Drosophila melanogaster: one gene and its partner. The protein of the gene in region 1 purifies or fractionates together with the protein of each later gene. This does not show direct contact. Each region holds a gene or a part of one and is shown on either strand. Other genes may lie near its edges.

Region 1 (3,757 bases):
ATATTCATAGCTTTTTAATAGATATTTAAAATACGGCAACTCTTACAAAAATGATTAGTTTTGATATGATGGAAAGCTTAATTTGTGACGTGATGTTAATAGTTGACTAATTCTAATAATTCGCCGGCAATATGTATGAATGTTTAAGCCTTTCATGAATCATAAAAATAAATACAAGTTGATAAAAAGAGTGACTAAAAGATTTATAACTACAAATACCTCTAGCATTTAGAACTTCTAGGAATAAACCATTTTTATGGGCTTGTAAAAACTTACATATGTCCAAAGGAGTGCCGATTTTTCCTGACACATTCAAGAACTTTAAAGGATTTCCGTTTAGCACCGAATTAATGGAACTGCCAAAGTGTCCCATCCCGATTCCCATGCCAGATCCTGTACCAGGACTAATGCTGTTGGCTGCCGCAGGAGCCAGATGCTTCAGCTGATCGAGGGTGGGTCCCAGAGTACTGGCTTTCAGACGCTCTAGCAGCGCCGATCCGCTCAGATTGTGCATTATCTCGCTGGCAGTGGGCGTGGCAGCGGTCACATGGGCGGCATTTACCGCCGCCGCATTGCAGAATTTGCTGATGCTCAGTATGCAGGTGATGAAGAGCAGGTGGAACGATGAGGTGAAGCTGAAGCTGATTAGCTGCTGCACTTTGCTCTGGTAATGTGTGCTGGCGCTGTAGAAGAAGCCACTGGTTTTGGACGGTTCTCTACAGCCACTGCTGCTGCTGCTGCTTCTGCTGTTGGCACTTTCATTTGTTGTTAACTCTGACTGGGTGGTGGTTTGAAAATATTCCGTGAAATGCGGCATGCAGGTTGTGGCCATCTTTTGCAGCTGCTAGAATATATATACGGTAGAAATTGCACTTTAGGCTCAGTGGGTCACACACGCTTTTCACTCTGGTTCGATTTGCCAACTTATTTATACACGTCCATTAAATAATAAGTTTAGGCGAATACACGCAACGTTTGCCAAAAAAACGTTCACAAAAGTGAGAGAATGAATCGACTGTATCGGGATGAGAGTGTAAGGCATAGGTACGATAAACATGCGGAAAAGGCGATGAAGGGAAAAAGAAACATACGATGTTGCGAAAAAACAGCATAAGAGCACAGAAAACACGAAATACACACATAAAACTGCAAGCTAAGGGCGACGCCTTTGGTCAAAGCGAGGGTTAGCCCCTTATGCTGTCCCTCTCACTCATTTTAAAACATTAAAATAATTTTTTATTTGGATATATCTGCTATCAGCGGTATAACGGTTGATAAGCCAGGTAAGCCTGGTAAGTCATGCGCAGCCACTACCCATTGACACCATTATTCCAGCTCGGAATGGGTTCTGGTTGTTCAAATCTTGTATTTACTTTATTGAATGGCAAAACACATGTTGGACTAAAATTTATGCTGTTTTTTCACATGACATATTGACGTAACGTTCGGCCAAAATAGATTCATACATTTTTTTTTAATTAACACTTATTTCCGCTCGACAAATGCGATGAGCTGGCCTTAAAGCCCCGGCTTGAACTTTTTTTTATTTGCTTTGAACTTTTGCTTTCCGAAACTTTTTTCGCATTCCGAAATTTCTCGGTTTAACGGTGAAGTTATATCCAAAGCATGGGGCGTATGAGCGATAAGCGACCAGCGACGACCTAGCGACACGCACTGCGAGTACAAACTGCCGGAATATCGCTTCCGAAGTGAGCGGACCAATGGAACCGTCTTAGAAACTTCGGCAGTGCTCGTCTTTCGTTCGGCAACGAACCGACGATCGCCACGCGTACCATATCACACCTGCGAAGAGAAAAGAGAGTGTCGACGTCATCATCGGGGGGAGCCCCAAAGCGTTGAAAATCAAAAGCCTCGATCTCCAACACAAAGAGAAGACAAAGCTACCAGTGCGCAAATAAGCTGACATTGAATCAGAGCTAACAGGTGGTTCTCTCTTCGGCCGCTCTCTTAGAACGTGTATCAATCTATTTTGGAGGTGTGTTCCACTATTTGTCGTTTCGGCATCCAATTAGTGAGGTAGCAATTTCTAAAATTACAGGTCTAAATTGTTTGTTGGCCCGGGTCAATCAGTCAAGGCTTCGATTGAAACTAGTAATGGGCTTTGTAGCATAGACACACGTAAATCACAATTGGTCAATAAATGTTAAACCATTTACTGTAGCGGAAATTGATCTATTGACAGCACCTGTACCTCTGCATTTCAATTCATAACATGGTTTCCATTTGAATAACAAAGATGCTTGAGAAACACGATGGGCTTTTAGCAAGTCTGGATATCATCAAAGTGTAAAATCATCAAGCTTTGATGAATTATTCCCCTTCGGTACATTTCCAATTGAGATTTCTTCAAGGAACAGAAATATATGTGCATTTTTAACAGCTGTGCATCTGAAGATGAAACGAAATGCTACAAATTCAGCAAAAAATTGTAAATTGGACAATGTTGGAAATAAAAACTGGAAAAATAGCTGGCAACTTACCACTCACACTTTGAAATCAATCAAATTAAAATCCCATCCACAAAGTCATGTAATTATATCACAGGAGTACGCTACACATAAGTATGTTCTGAGTTTATTATTCATCATATTTTCTTTTTAGTGGGGAAACATATACATATGTATGTACACTTAACAAATACAGTTAACAAAAGGCTAATACGTATGCAGTAATAATTTTAATATAATAAAACGACTCTGCTCCTTGACAACAGAAATATAATTTCTCAACTTGCTCTAATAGTAGACCATAAGCACAATGATCTCTTTGTCATGTTTACGTATAGTAATATTAAGTTGCGTCATTTAAAAATAATGCACACTTACAGCTATATACAGTTTGGAACTATGTAATTTATAATTAGCAATTAGATTTCTCGTTTCCTTTTACGTTTCTCGTAACTATTTCTGTTTTGTTTTTCTTTTGTTTATTTGTGATAGAACTCTGCGACATAGTATTTTGTACAGCATCCTTTAAGGATGCGCTCCAAGGTGACCCGCCGTCCTTGCCGTGCCTTAAAATTTTAAAATAATTAATTTACACAATACACAGAGTTGCTCAGTCTTCAGGCGTGTGTGTTTCTGCCGCGGGTCTCGAGTTAGCATTGGTCATCTAATTTTCCCAGCGACCAAGCGCAACAATCATCCAATCCACATTTCACACGATTCCAGAGGAATCAATCTAATACGAGGATATGCCTATGACGGGTGAGTACTGCAAGATAAATTAAGATAAATTATAATAAGTATACCGATTAATATTATGGAAGGGAAATTAAATCATTTGCGGGTGTGTTAAACCCAATGCTTATCATTATACTTGGATTTTTATGGTAATTAATAATTGGAGACCCACCTCCTCATCCATGACACTGGTGTGGTCGTAGATCCGCGCCGGCAGATTTTTGCGCAAACTGAAGTGATCCTCTGTGGTGGTGGTCTTGCGGTAGATGGGGTTCTCGAAGTTCATCGAGTTGATGCGTCGCTTGCTGCAGTAGCGGTAGCCAATGAGCAGGAGCTGTCAGGGCACCACATAAATTGATTAGTTAATTGAATACCCCGAACGTCGCCACATCTCTGCCCAATCAACTTACCACCGATAGCAGGACAGCGAATCCACTAAGACTGGCTATGACCACCAGTGCAATAAAGCCGGAATCCGGCTGCTCACTGGGCGTTGTGGTCTTTTCGATTTGAGTATGGTTTTTCACTGGACGCTGGTCGGCAACTGCGGAAAA
Region 2 (3,757 bases), on another chromosome or scaffold:
GAGGAAATTAAAGGAAAGCCGCACAGTGGGCCCCCGCTAATGCGCTCTGTGAGTTGCTGACGTGCATGGTGACATTTGAGTGCTTTGGGAAAGCCATAATCCTTTCACCTGCACAATCTGAATCTGTCACCTGCAAGTGCTGCATGTTTCATGTGTTGGATTCAGTGTGAAAGCAACGAGCATACAACATGTTGTGCGGAAAACAATAAATGCGCTAAGAGTTATGGAGCTCCCTTTGTCTGGTGTTAAGGGGCAAAATGTTTTTCAGTCTTCTTTTACAACATGAAGTGGACTAAAAACCATGCTTAGAGTAAGCAAAGAGTCTATCAAATAATCATAAATCTAAAGATAATTCATAAAAAAATTTGAAGTATATAAGTCATCTATTGGGATGACGTAAAAATAAGATGTTTCTGCATTTCTTCCTACAACAATAAAGAACGTGTTTAAAACTTTATAATTGATATACGGTATAAAAGAATAAACAATATTATATCATATAAAAGCATTTTGTTTTCACTCTTATTATGGTTAAAATATTTTAAATAAAAGCATTCCATTTTTAATGGCTTAAATCTTCTCGAAAATCCAAGCTTATATATAGTTTTTTATAAGTGTAAAGTTCATCTTCATTTTACTTAGCTGCGGAAACGGATCTATTTTTTTTTTTTCAAAAGTAGTAGCTGATTTCATTCTGGAATCTCTTATCATTTGACAGTAATCAGTTCAAAGTATTTGCACGTTTTTGTATTTTTTTATTGATCAGATTATTCACTCATATAATGTTGTATTTCATTTATAGATGAAACACAATGAATGATTAAATGTACTCCAGTAACGGTGCAAGCATTCATTTGATATTTTGAAAATCAATATAATAGCATAGTTATTCATTTATATATAGACGTAATAGCACATTTAATATGTCAATTCATAGTTTCACTGCAAAACATTTCACAAGAAGAGTAAATAAGACAGTTTGAAACTGAGAGATCTTTCTCTGCTCTTCCTCGACAGTTGCTTATCACTTCACACACTTTATTTATAAGACCCGACATTGATTAAACTGCGACTATTCCCTCTTGTTTTGTATTGAACTCTTGACCCAACTTATCTGGGTACGAGACTGATTCCGATTTAAAATCCACACGTATGCGATGTTAAATAGTGATTTCAACGACATGTGGCGCACAGGTTTTCACAGTTTGAGGTTATTTTCGTAAACTTTCCACGTTCTTTCTCCACATTTTCCGCTACATTTGGGTTTTGCACCGCAATTGCATGTTCCCCATTTGAATTTGCAGCTTTTTACTGCACTTTATTGTAAAAAAAGAGCACACATTAATGAGCTGCATGCTCATTTCCGGTACGTTAGGCACAAACTTGCACAGGCCAGCTAACCCACGCACACATACGCAGAGACTAAGGAATTAAGTGCGACGGCGCAACAGGATGGCGTACAAGTGCCAACGAAGGCAGCAAATGGTGAATTTATCCTTACTTCCGGTTCGAACGCGCCGCCAAACCGTCAACAGGCTGGTTCTTTCTCTCTCTCGCTTTCGTTTCCGGTTCCGTTTTACAGCTCGCCACTCCACTTAAGTTCTGAGGAAGCGTCCGTTGCCCACGAAGCGGCAAGCACGAATGAGGCGATGGATTCTGGCTGATGCTTGATTTTGATGCTGATGCCGCCGCTCGTTTTCCGCTCGTTCGTTCGCAGGCTCTCGGCTGAGCCGACTATCGGCACAGACACTGGGGCACTCGCCCTGTAACCCCGCGATGCACTGAGAAAAAAGATTGATTAGAGCGAAAAAATTAATTCTCTCTTAAAGATAAGAAACTATAAGTCTGCCACTTTGAATACTTAAAATTTACAATAAAATATTTTATTTCTATGTTATATTGAAGAAAATCGTAATCGTAATGCAATCTTTTTTCGAGTGCTTGATGTCAGGCCCACTTTTGGCAGATAAGAGACCATGTCTTTTTTGCGCTGGAACATCTACTCGGGTTTCAAAGTGCGTGGTGAATGAATGGGGGACTGCGAATGGGAATATCGGGAAGTCAGGAGTAGAGGCTGAAGCCGGGTCATGAATGAAATTGTCGCGCGCATATCAGACGCATGCCAACACAATCGAAGTCACCGCTGCAGTCCATCCTAATGGCTGTCAGCTCATGTTATCGGAACTGGACTGGCCGAAAAGCTTCCCGCTGGCTTGTCGCCCACACAAATGCCTTTGGTCATGCCATATTTCAAAGGATTTTGCCGTGGCACTCTATGCCCCGTGAATACACTGGCCTATTGGGCATGTTAATACTCTACCGTATCCCCAACTTTTTGTTTTGATGCGATTTCGATTTCATACTGTCAAATGTATGCCGCTACCACTGATGTGTTTTGCTTATCGGTTTGAACTTTATATTATTTATTCCATCGACTCTGGTCCCTGCCACCCCAAATGCCTCACGCTGTGCGGTGCGTATTTATTTTGTAGTAAAATCAACAGCCGAACCATAAAGAGAGGCCAATCCAAACAAGCGAAGAACCGGAGGACCGGAGTCGCAGTTGCCCTTCATGCGATTGTGGCTGATTGATTGCAGGAGGAGCAGAGATAACACAAGCGCGGCGCAGAGACAGCTCTGATAAGTGGCGTATGGGAGATGTGTGATAAGGAGTCAGGCGAAAGGTTATGGATTGCTGTTAGGAAGATCGAAGCTATCAGCTCCATGCTCTGAATGGTAATATTTTCGAAGTGGATAACATATGGGCCAAGAACTGAGCAAATCCGATGACCAACAGACGGAAAAGTTAATATACTTTATAAGATCTGAGCAAATATAACGCAATGGTATAGTGCTAGCAAGCAAAAAATGTTATATACAAAAAATATTGTTTGAAAGTGTGAGAATATTTGGCTTGTGTGTGGTTTGCTATTTGTGATTTCACCGGCGATTGTTCAATAACACAAACGCTTGTCGTGCTAAAATCGGAAGTGAATGCCTTCAATGGCATTGGTGTTTTTCAATAGGGCAAACGAAGGCAGACCCCTGGCAGCTGTTGTTGTCTAGTTGGGTCAGATTTTTGGGGCTCGGTATCCAAGCTGATCCGGCTGCTCCATCTGTTGCGGTCCATGGCCTGCTTGCTGGGTCAAAAAATATTCCAGGAATTTAATTTTCCAATGAAATATGAAAAATATTATGAACAATTCGGTGGCGCAGCGCGGAGGGGCTAAGGCATGGAAATCACAAACAAAATTAATGCAAAATTGTTATCCCAGGACACAAAAGCGGGGAGTTGTCCAATTGCGTAACAATTCGAATCAAATGCTCGTGTGTACTGGGAGGAACCTTTTGAACCATTTATCGTTTATTTTGCCTTCTTTCCCGGGAAACCCCGGGTATGCAAATCAAACCGGAGCCGAAGTAAAAGGGAAAACTTGTAAAGTTATCAACTGGGGAAATGAGGGCTTTGCAGGTGTCGGAATCGTTTCTAGCTATATCTACTATACTATATGTGCAACTGTATCCCCTGGGTATTTTTGCATGCGTGTCAATAAAATAAGTGCTCCGCTGCATTTGGCTGCTTTCTGTTGCACTTTTCTGCATATGAGTGGTAAATACTTGAGAGCAAATCTCGCCAGTGTCTTTGGGCGTCTTGTGAAGTTGGGAAAACTTAGACCCAACTCGAATATCTCGAATAGAGCTTGAAATGGCCCGAAGAGTTTGTAAACTTGAATTCATTTAAAGATTTTCTTTGGTA

The links. Proteins that work in one complex are often made in the same cells at the same time.
Region 2: the proteins of LpR2 (region 1) and Apoltp purify together in Drosophila melanogaster (affinity purification with western blotting; one study listed by BioGRID). This does not show direct contact.

What each region holds. Positions count from the first base shown.
Region 1 is NT_033777.3:25,738,779-25,742,535, forward strand, and holds the start of LpR2 (lipophorin receptor 2), read right to left. Parts: upstream 1,688-3,757; 5' UTR 1,467-1,687; intron 845-1,466; 5' UTR 833-844; coding exon 277-832; intron 1-276. Other genes in the region: LpR1 (lipophorin receptor 1), read right to left, coding at 3,202-3,234, 3,376-3,537, 3,614-3,747.
Region 2 is NT_033779.5:9,632,073-9,635,829, reverse strand, and holds the start of Apoltp (apolipoprotein lipid transfer particle), read right to left. Parts: upstream 1,652-3,757; 5' UTR 1,502-1,651; intron 1-1,501.